2 linked regions of the Drosophila melanogaster genome follow. The protein of the gene in region 2 interacts with the protein of the main gene of each other region in a biochemical or structural test. Each region holds a gene or a part of one and is shown on either strand. Other genes may lie near its edges.

Region 1 (5,018 bases), on a different chromosome or scaffold from region 2:
TCAGCGATTTATGAGGCTATAAACCGTCTGCGGCTTTGATCCTTTTTCCTTTTGCATTGCCTATTACTGAACAGATTACACCTACATTTTTTCGCCGTGCAATTTCATGGAGGAATACCCACCGAGGAAGAGGAGCAGCCACAGCGGCACCAAGCAAATCGCTTTCAACGCTCTCGGGCAGTCCGTTGTCCACATGTTTTATGCTCTCCACTCGGACTGCTACTACGGCTGCTAGCTACTTCGATGAGGGCGATGAGGAATCCTCCGCTCCTGCCGGCTGTTGTATTTGCTCCGTTTACGGTTTAAGGTTTAATAATCTGCAAAGGAGGAAATATTATTACCAGGGCTCTTTTTTATGGTACCAGTGGCGAAGGACACGCCTGGAAAATAACTGGGGGAATGGCAAAGTAATTTGCCGGGCAAATGATGAAAGCCAGATATATATCCGGAATATGATGGGGGGCGGTTACTACTGGGCGGAGTGGGTCAAGTCAATATGGCATTCTCGTCGGCCGGAAAATTGCCTACCCATCACGGCAATTGTTTAGTACAGTGCGTTTCATTACTCCGAGATGGCCAAACGATTGAATAATAACAATAAACTTAATATATATATATATACATGTGCCACAATTTAGCCATAATACAGCGTTAAATATTAAATGAGCAATGAATAATAAAGTAAAATTCATGCAAATTATATGATTATTCGATATAATTCAAACAAAATTACAAAATTCAGTTGCTAGTTTTCCATTCAAAACCAACTATTAAGAATATTTTTCCCACAACTACGCACTGCAATTACGCACGGCAAAATATTCAATTAAAGCTGAAACAAAATTGGCTTGTTTATTGAAAAAAGTGCAACCATTCTATGGCTATCTAATTTAATTAATATAGAAACGAGTTGAAATTAGCTTTATAACTGGGTCAGCAAATTACTGGTTGCCTGGCAAATGGCAGCTGCGTTTTCCTATTGCCAAGAATATATAATTATATTATATATATTACGAGCCAAAATATCCCAAACAGATTCAATCGAACCAATTGCGCACACCATTATGCTGTGGATCTCTTCCAGAATCCAACAATTAAGCATAAATTATTGATTCAAGGCGACTTATGTGTGCATATTTATGGACCTCACTGCACCACAATTCCAATTAACAGAACAAGAGCCATCGCAGGCCAGTGTAATGGGAAATGGGAAACGGTTGTGCTGAATGTCGGGTTAATGAGGTTAATGCCGGATGTAGCCTGAGCTTTTGGTTTCGACTTGGTTGCCAGGGCAAGAAAATGCGTTTCAGATTCGCCACAGAAAATGCATTCATGGTCGTTGGTGGGGGGGGGGGGATTACTTTCCACGACCCAAAAGCAGGGAGTCAGTCATATTGCATTGCAATGTGGGTAAAGCAATTACAAGGGGAACTCAAAAGGATGGTGTGTGAGGGAGGTGGAGGGGGTATACCCCCGCACCGAATGGAAAACTAAGGCAAAAGTCGAAAACTTCGTGAAGGATGAAATTAAAAAGTTTCCCCAAGCTGAGCTCCTGGCTAAACGACCTTGTCAACTATATAGTTTTATCGGGATAAACTCGATATTGCTTTCACAGACTTCCTTTCCCAGTCGACTTCCCTTTGGCGAATTTGTCAGTCTGGTGCCAGGATACCCCCGAGTCCTCGTCGTGGGTGTCCCTCTCATTATTTATGACTCAAACTCGGTAATCAGTCAGCTCGTGGCGAAAGGGGGCAGTAAGGGTAGGGTCCTAGAGCGGTCTTTCATAATCCCGGTCATTACTCAAAAATATACATTTGTTGTCAGTCCAATTAGCTGCGTGACTCCAAGGGTCAGCAGTCCGCTCCTAGGACCAAGCCATTTGTTTTGGTCACTTTTGGCCTTTCGGCCGACGGCTTTTCGGTTGCCTGGTGCCTGGTTTTCCTTGTTTTTTTTTCCCGGGAATATAATAATAAAAGAGGTTGGCACGGCGGGCTTCATTTTTTCGCAGCTATTACAGCGGAATTATCGCCTAGCCGAACAGTTCCCCGTATGCCGGCGCCCTTTCGACTCTCCATGGAAATTAAACAAAAGTTTTTTGTTTTGCGTTGCCTGCCCGGGAACAACATTATTCTGTTGTTCTTTTGCCTAACTTTTCAGGCCTGTCAAACGGAAACGGCGGACAAAGGGCAACCGCAGTTTGGCCAGTCAGCCAGGACCCTATTTATTGTTTGTTTTTCCCCAGCTCGTCCTTGTGCCGCATTAAATTAAATTCCTTCACTTACGGGTCTCGGCAATGACTTCCAAATGACACCACCGTCATCCTCTGCGTAATCCAAACGGGCAAAATCCTTGAGCTCTGTGATTTTACAACTGCGTTACACTCGATCTTGGCTTTGACATTCGGTTGCGCAATGCGCAATAATTAGGCGGGCCTGCTGGCATGGCTCATTCAACAGTTGCACAATAACGATTGGCATTCAACAATGCCGCAACAATTCACCAACGTCACAGTTCACCAATCAATTCGGTTCAACAATGGTCAAAAAAGTGGCCCAATCGCAAACACAGGTTTATTTCTGGTCTGGCTTACTGGCTTACTTAATAGCGCGGATTTCGAAAATATATCCGTTCGGCGGAAGTGGACACATGGACACATGGATCCACGGACACGCACGCACACGATGACAGCGAGTTGAGCGACAAGGACGTGTGCTTTGTATTATTATATTCGTTTAGTCGGCAAAGTGCGTATGTGTATGTTGGCCACATTAGGTGCCAGCCAGAGCCCTATAGGTATGCACACTTACACTGAGACAGAGGGAAGCACACAGACACAGTCACAGTTACTGACGCACACACACACAAGTTCGAAGGATACGCGGAGAGAGGCATTTTGTGTATCCGTCTCAGAACGTGACCAACGATGGGTCCGTGGGATTTAGTTATTAAACGGCTTTTGGCTTCTGCCTTCACTTCATTCCTTCGTCTGTTTTCATTTTTAAATGTGGCACAATGCTATGTGGCGATGGTGTTGCTGCTCCTGCTGCTTCTGCTAGCACTTTCCCTTTTCCCGGTGCTTCCCTTCCCGTATGAGTGATTTATCCGACGGCAACAACGGAGCAGCGTTCACGGGCATCCTTGCATCAGGATTCGCGTGCTGGAACTGATTTCGATTCCATCTCGGCGAGCGCAAGGAACTTGCACCGCGACTCCGAATCGCGAGACTCCGAAAGGTGCTCTCCCACGCAGGCGCACGACAAAAAGGACCTCTGTGGATGCGAGAGGATTTCCCCGAAAGTCAGAGCATATCAAATATTAATTCGCCATCCATTTGATGTCGCTTTCTTTGCATGCCTGATGAGCGGTTTTATTTTAAGGCAAGGGTTTATTTTCTTTTCTTTATTTCGTCGCTTTCCGTTTTTCAACACGACTCGGTCGTACTTTGGTTTTCCAGCTAACCACCAAGCCGGATCGTTTTGCTCTCCATCCTTCCTCCGTCGCAGTCTCTCTTTCTCCCTCGCTCTCTCTCTCTCTCTCTCTCTTGGGCTTTCGCCATCTGTACTATCTGGGTTATTAGCACAACCTGCCTCAATGCGAGACCGACTGGTAACAGTCGTGCCGAATCGAAATCCGAGTGGTGGAAATCGTGGCCAGACGAACCTAATATGCTCCATAGTCACGTACAAATGAATATTCGTAGTAGAGACGCCTTCGTTTTGGCATATTAATATAGTCTACATTTCGGGGCACAGGCAACCCGCACTTTTTTGTGTCTTTCTCGCACATGAATGATTTACACCCGGGCCATGTAAATGTGATTTTTACCGCAATATATAGGTATTGGTTTAGCCATAGGTATAGCCATGGGAATCCTTTTAGTTTATACGCCATCGAACCGTACCGCACCCATCGCCCCCTCCATTCGCGCAAAAACAATTGAACAGACAGTTATAGGCCAATTTCAGTTTATGTCCATGCGTCGCACTCGAGAGAGATTTGTGTGGCTTCGTTAAGGGACTAGAAAACGTGGTATAGGCTGTAGGCTAAAAGCGCTATAAGGGCTATAAGAGGGTTTAAGGGGCTTATGGGGTCTATGGGTGTTTGGGGGTACGACCAACACCTGTACCTCGTCGTCGTTGCTGCGCCGACCATGTCAAATGTTGCGTGTTATGGCCACAAATGTGGCTGTCGAAAGCGTAGCCACCCCCCAACCTCCCTCTCAACCATCCTTCCCCAGTACACCCGCAAGTACACCCACTACCCCCGCAACCCATCCGTATTCAGAAAACTCGGAACGGGCATTTCAACGCATGCCTTACGAGCTCATAAATAAAATGCCCACCCAGTCGAAGGCCGATAAAGTCGAGTGTGCTTGACTGGGGAATGCCCTGTAGGCCTCAAAACATCGCAATGCAAATGAGCACGGCGCCGGCGAAAGAGACAGACGCACTCAAACGGACAGAGATAGGTGGCTGGCGAGCGAATGAGATAGCAATGTAGAGAAACAGCGAGCCAATGCAACAGAAAATTGACAGACAATGGCCCTGTAATTGACACGCCACCTAGCGGCCATTACGAATGATTAAAGTTGTTTTGACCCTCCCAATTGTGCGTGTGTGTGTGTGTGTGAGTGTGTGTTGCCACGAGTTGACATTTGATTATAGAATTCCATTACCAAACAATTGAAATGGGAATACATCGAGTTGACCAGAACGGAGGCAGAGCCGCACTAAGCAGTTTACAATTTCTATAATTAAGTTAGCACGCAATCAGGTCAAACGGAACACAGGAAGAAGCGATCTGGATAATTATAGAATTATGATTTAATATCAAATCTGATAATAATCAGTTGGATTAGGCGAACTCTTTGAGATACTATTACAAATTGAGTTTTTAAGGCGATTAAAAAAAGGCATCAAATCTTTGAATTTTATGGCCATGATCCTATAACTTACTGAAGATATTGCATAAGCATACCGCGATCAAATATAAGGAGTCTACAGTTCATTAAATCCTCA
Region 2 (7,056 bases):
ATCCAACTAACAAACTGTTAAGCCTACCTCGACACGCTCATAGCTAGATCTAATTCTTAACTCACTAATTTATTGCGAAAGAAACGGAACAGATGCAACCGATGGGAAGTAGCTAAATATTAATGTTTAAATATTAACACACCTGTTGAACACGTCTCCTTAGTTCGATTTCCTCTAAGTTAAGCGTAAAGTTGCGGATCGAATTCTATCGATATATTCAATTGATCTGACTAAGGAATCCAATTGTAAATAACTTAAACGAATTGTAGACTATTTAGAAAAAAATTATTGTAAATGTTGTCCTAAAGCAATTTTATTCAGTCAACCGAACGTAAAAATCAAAACAAAAGATCAGAATCAAAATCAAATTAATTGATTTTTTTTTAATAGTTTGCTCACACGTGCGTTACTTTTACCCTTGAATCGAACAATTGTCACCAAAATTATTATTAATATAACATTGTGAATTAGGCAATATAAAGATGAAGTCACTCATTAGACGTGGCCAAAAGACAAAGCACACATTGTTTGATTGCTCACAAAAGTGACACTTTATTGACGAAACATAGAAACATTATCCAAAGCGGTTGGAAACTGCAGCTCTTATCAGACATATTTGCGATGTATTCTGCAATAAGATTTAGCTAGTTATCTTTATCGCGACTCTATTTATTGTAGAACAAACAAACCTTCGATGACAATGAACTGACTTTCGCGGGAGGAAGTTTGATGCGAGTGCTGTCCATGCTTCTTGGCCTTATCTGGTGGTCAACATTTGTTACATCTAAGGGATTAAGTAACCGAAATATAATCTCACTTACGGTGCACGGTTATAATCCGATCTGTCTGACCCATCGCATTCTTTGCCCTGCATATGTACTCTCCGAAATCTCTTTTCGTTATTGGACGCAGGGTGATCCGCATCACGATCCGGAAGACGTGGTCCACTGAGACCGACTCGTAGGAACCTCCTTGCAGCAATTGCGAATCCCTCAGCCAGAAGTTCACCGATGCCGGCTGCGATTCTGTGATGCACTCCAGCGTCAGCTTCTGGCCCAGGCCCACGTAGATGGTATCGTAGCGTGTCCAGATCGTGGGCGCAACTGAAAGATAACTCAGTATTATATATTGAATCCAACTCTTTGTTCACACATACAATTCACCACCAGCATGACGCGTTTGCTCACTGTGGGTGGCACTCCGTTGGAGGCGATGCAGAGATAGGCGCCCATGTGGGAGCGCTGCACCTGCCACAGGGTGAGATTCTGACCCTCCACGCTGAACACTTCCCGATCGCCGTCGTCTGAAATCAGTATCGGAGTCGCTTCCTCGCGACGCCAGGTGATGGTGGGCATGGGCACTCCCGTTGCACTGCAAGTGAGTGTTACGTTCTGTCCCGTGGAACGAACCACATCCTGACTGGTTTGATAGTCTACAATGTCTGGCGGCACCACCACATCCAGGTAGCCCATTTGGCTCTTCATGGGATCCGTGTTGATTTGGCACATGTACCTACGGTAAACGCTAGTAGAAGAATATGGTCCATCTATCTGATAGATACTTTCACTCACCATCCGCGATCCGATTCCTGAACATCGCGTATTTTTAGCTGCCAGATCCGATGCTCCGTGTGGGAGATGGAGATGCGATGGTTCTTGGTGATGACGTGGTTCTGGATGCTCAGTATCGTCTGCGTGTCCACTCGCAGCCAGGCCACCTTGAAGCTAACCAGGTCGTGGACAACACACGTGAGTAGGGCATCCCGTCCCACGGGAACTGTTGAGTTGTTGATTGGACCGCTGAACTTGGGATCCGCTGCAAAGGAAGATGGTGGCACCAAGCCCAATGGTTTGGCATTTATGGCTTTCATCATTAGGGCGCTAAATGGGGCGACGATATACAACTGCTGGGTGGCTTTTGGGGTGGTTTATGGGGCTTGCAAATGTGAGGCACTGGCATTTGCTGTATTTTAATGGAACTCAGACGCCAAACATTTAATTCAATTAAAAAATAACCTTTTTTTATGTGCAGCTTTTCTAATCCACAATTATCAGGATAATTATTTCATTTCTTATCCTCGCACATTTTTGCGTGTCTCTGCAGAATGTCAACGCAGACTAGGCCAAGTTTGTTGCCAGATGGCCCGCCGAAATGGTCAACGATATTTAAAATTGTTTAACGGCCATAAATTTCTTGAGGTTAACATTAGGCCGAGACAGCGGCAGATAATCCAATAATTAGATAAATTATAGATGTCAGCTACATTCTGGCAAAATAGAGTAGCTTCAACACTAACAAATTGTAAAACTAGCAAAACGAAGCTATTTTTGAATCAGTAAAATATGTTGATTATATTATATATATATAGAAACAATAGTTTTGAACATCATCTTAAACCTATGATTTGGTTATGGATTCTTTTCTGAGCACTTTTACTCAAAAATAGTACCTCATGTATTGTACATACATAATATTGAACAGCGGGATAGTTATGTTTTGATTTTATCGTAAATAATAGCATAAACACGTTGGGTTCACACACTATGAACTCAAACTACTGCTTTCCGGCGTGTTGTTGCTTCGGCCAACTCGAGTCCCATCGCAATAATTTTGAGTCAAGGTGCCCGACCGCAGGACTTCGACAGTTGCCGTCAGCCAATCTAACCACCAGAGTTCCAACCGCAAACCGAACCCACCCACACCATCGCAAACACAACAATGGGCTGGAGGCAGGAGTAATGGAAGAAATCACATCACATGCCTAACAAGTAGCACGACTCTGTGGCCAGGAGACGAGGAATCCAGTTCCAGCTACTGTTCCTGTTCCAGCAAACGCCTAAATTACAATTATGACCAAATAATAACCCGAAAAAATGCAAAAATCTAATAGAGCGCGGTATGTGTGTGTGTGTTGGTTGGGGGGCAGCAGGTGCTGGTACCTGGAAAATTGTAAAAAGCTGTGCTACACCTTTATGTATACCCCCCCCATCCACCACGAATTGATTGCGTTGTGTGGGGGGGGTATCCACCAAACTAGCATCAAATTGGGTAGCCTACGGATGCCATGCCATAGAGCCTATAATTTGCGATTATGTTTGGGTCTGGCCGCAAGTTGGGCGCTTTTTTTTTGGAGTCCGAGTCCGAAGGCTCCGCCTTCAGTTGCTCTGAGTGTGGGGAACGAGGCGCCATTGTTTGACTGCCTTCAGTTGATATGGTTTCTGTTTTTGTTGGTATTGCAATTTGGTTATTGCATGTTTGCATATTGAAACATTCCGAAGAAAGGGACGAGCGAGACTTTTTAAGCCATAAAACACAAACGTACTTTGCACTGGAAATAAAAGTATAATAAGCTAAAGAACTAATATAAAAAAAACAAAAATTTCAATAATATATTTGCATCAACAGATTTTGATTAGATTTTTTATGCATAAAGGAGCAATGAACATAAAACGCTAACAAAACTACAAGGTAAGTAATTATGTATAATATCTTACTTTTGATTTCTACTTTTGAAATTATTCTGAGTGTACTCATACATGTGTGTTCATATAGTTAAACTTTTCTTCTTTTATTTATGTCTGCAAGGTAGCGTAATTTAGCATTTAACTTTTTCGCCACCGCACCGCCTTTGTTGTTGCCACATTTTATAAGGGGAAATTGACTATGAGTTGTTAAATATATTTTCCTGTTTTCTTGCACGACTTGTATCGCTGGAATCGCTTGAATCGCTCGGCCAGGACTTAAGCCGCATTTTCCCCGCGAAGTCGCTGCAAATCCGGCCGTGTCCTTTCCCCACGCCACTTGAACTTGAAACGGAAAGTGAATGTCCTGTCTCCTGTTAGACACTCCAGCTGTCTGCCGGCGAAAGGAATCACAATCACAATCAGCACGCAATGTCTGCCAAAAAGTTAAGTAAAAACTGCGAAATAACCCACTGCAGTGGCAGTTCCACACCCGCAACCGCCAACCGAAAAACGCGGCACTTCAGCGGCAGAAACCGCCGGCCAGGAATAGAAAAAAAAATGAAACGAAAATATCGCAGAGTGCAATAGGAAGTGGGAAAACGTCGCCTTTCCGCGACTGTCTGTCTGCCTGCCCGCTGTGCGGTGGGTGGTGGGTGGTGGGAGTTGGTTGGTTGGCACGGAACATCGTGCGGTGCGGTGCATCATCACTCCTTTGAGCCACTTCTCACTTTCTTATCGCACGCTGCGGCTAGCCTGCCAATATTTATGTTTACTTTGCATCTGGCACATTGATTTAAATGCGAATTTTGTCGAATTTTGATATATTTATCGCATTTGGCTCGCCAAAGTCAAGGAAAATTTGTTTTGTTTTTTTTATTCGGCGCACATTTTCCCCAGCGGAAGTTACCCCTCGTTACTCTTTCGCAGCTCTCCACCGGAAACCCCTCTGCCCGCTCCCTTTCCCTATCACCGCCATCCTGTCTGTCCCGTCTGGGGAATATGTTGGCCACAGTTTATTCACTTATGGACTCGTTGGACTTCCGATTACCAGCTACCTTCCATTTTATACGCTACCACTCCGGCTTTAGATAGTTTGCAGTCAATTAGCTGTACACTTTTGGGTTCATCATTTCGTGTTGGCGGGTTACAAAAGTTCAGCTTGTAAACAGGATACTTTTTAATTGTACAACATTCAAAAAACGTCATATTAATCGAGAAAAACTATCCTTAAAATGTTTAATTTAATATTTAATGGGTTATGCATTTCATTCAAAGTAAATCTTATATTTCTGACTAATTTCATTATTAGCAATCAGATTTATTTATCCTTTAGTTAATCACATCCTCGATCCACTTACAATTGTTTAGCTCCGAAAAGCTGGCCTGGCTGAAACACACGCTCTGCAGGAGCAGCAGCCAAAAGCTGGGCAATCGCCTTCCCATAGCCGAAAACTCAACCGCAATCAAGGTGCGAAACTTTTGAATATTTGCTGATTTCCCACTTTAATTTTTAACTCTGCCACTTTCACTGCCCAAATGGCCGAAGTTCAACTTCCGCCGCAACAGCGCAAATGTATTTTTTCCGCTTCTGCGGATGAAGTTTTTTCCGCCGATTGCCGTGGCCAAACGTCCGCACACCCGTACAACTGGTCGCGAACTGATAATCAAGTGTCAAAACTCATATTCAAAATTCAAATGCGGCACTGGCGTTGCGCATGTGTCCTGCGGCCTTGCGAAGGTAGTGGGTGGTGGTTGGGTGGTTCTAGTGTGTCTAGTGGGTATGGTTGTAGCCCAGTAGTAGTCAAGGTGCCCGGCAGCCGAAAGACGGTGCTGTGCAATAGTAAATGTTTCATTCATAAACCGCCCGACGTAATATTTTCATATGCACGTGACGATATGAAGTATACGACATGTTGCCGGGGGAAAGTGACACATTATTGGTGATTTTTTTGTGGGCGGCGGAGAATAAAGGCCAACTCCAATACCATTCTAATTAACCCCGAAATGCCGCGCATCTTCTGCCCAACTTTCACCCGTATCCCCCATATCCCTCCGGATTCCAGCTGCTGCTCCTCTGCTTTTCTGCGATGCTTGCACTTCCAACTGGCTTGGTTTGCATGTGTGAGCTTCTCGGTAAGTTGGCATTAAGTTCGCACCGCTATTTGCGCACAATTAGCGCTTTTCAATAGCGATAACAATAATCATAATAAGCACGTGGAATTTGCTTGATTGTTGTTTTCCCTAGGGGCACATCTTTTGCTGGCCCATGCAAGTTTCTCTTCGTTTCTTCATTCTGGCCTCTGAGTCAGAGCCTCTGTCTTAATTAAATAATATTTTGCTAAAATTTGAGTGTGTTTTTATGCAATCTTGAAGTCTAAGTGATTGATAAATCCTACCTTTGTTTCATAATTTGATTAGTCAGCAAAATAAACTTACGTTTTAGAGTATCTGAATGGCAATACGTACATTAGATTGCCTTGACTAGTTATGTATATTTTTAAAATAGACTTAAATTCAAGAATTGTTAGTTTAGTGGATTTAACATACTTTTTCATTATTTAAAAATTATTTATTTAAAAAACTGCCGATAATTTCAAATTGTTTCTGCTTGATGTATAATAAAGCCTTTCAAATAAACTTTCCTTACTTTTACTTACACATGAAAAGTATGTGTCTTGGCTAACTGTGTAGAAACTCGAAATCAAATTTCGAAAAAGCAAACAGAAATGGTTTACAACTCCGATGTTACCTAACAATAAAATTATGGCGGTGTATAACTTTGCTAAAAGTTATAGTGTTGTGTAGCGCTGTTAAAAGAAGTAAGCGAATTTACAACTATTTTTTGAAACAAGAATCACTCATGAAATATGTTCTATGAGGCTTGTTAGGGAAATACTAAATTATATTAAGCTAAATATACAAACAGTGTATATGTGTAACTTAAGTGTATCAATCACCGCAGCATTTAAAATAGGCCTGACGAATAAGCGATATAAATCAATTTAAAATGTAGTATCTTCGTTAGGAAATGAAAAAATATAGTTTTCGCAGCAGAATGTTGCTAAGATCATTTCATTATATTCTGCTGAACTGGATTTTATTATTCCTATTCACAGTTTGCAAAGCAAAGAAAGCCGAAAATGATGTAGTACAGGAAGTAATATACTCAAATTCCATTCGAGCCCTGTCTGAACTTCGCGAGATTGAGAATTCCTATATGGAGCATTTAAACAACTATGTTAGCTTTCTGCAACAAAAAATCAAAACTCTCAGAATGTATGATATATATTTTAATTCCTCTCTTAAAACTAGAATTACACTTTAACTTTCACATAGTTTTATTAATTCTTTAACTCCGAATTATTTGGATCACAAGGTGGATCGATATAAATATGTGTCCAATCCCCTAAATTCCTTTGGACTTTTAAGGCGGGCTCATCAAGATTGGCCCAAGTTGATTGCTTACTTAAAGGATCAAGGAAATATAAAAGGTGTGGATTATATACAATGTTTGCACGTTTTCTCAATTTCAAGGGAAGCTAAAAGTACATTTTTGTATTTTATCACTTAAATATGAAACAACAGGCTATTG

The links.
Region 1: the proteins of DIP-iota (region 2) and dpr4 form a complex in vitro, tested with the Drosophila melanogaster proteins (one study listed by BioGRID).

What each region holds. Positions count from the first base shown.
Region 1 is NT_033777.3:11,539,785-11,544,802, forward strand, and holds the start of dpr4 (defective proboscis extension response 4), read right to left. Parts: upstream 3,166-5,018; 5' UTR 2,283-3,165; intron 318-2,282; 5' UTR 196-317; coding exon 123-195; intron 1-122.
Region 2 is NT_033779.5:6,616,604-6,623,659, forward strand, and holds DIP-iota (Dpr-interacting protein iota), read right to left. Parts: upstream 5,098-7,056; 5' UTR 4,908-5,097; coding exon 4,823-4,907; intron 2,844-4,822; exon of another isoform or gene 2,477-2,843; intron 1,816-2,476; coding exon 1,572-1,815; intron 1,513-1,571; coding exon 1,157-1,512; intron 1,104-1,156; coding exon 822-1,103; intron 762-821; coding exon 690-761; intron 629-689; coding exon 537-628; 3' UTR 531-536; downstream 1-530. Other genes in the region: CG34345 (uncharacterized protein), read left to right, coding at 6,520-6,740, 6,801-6,955.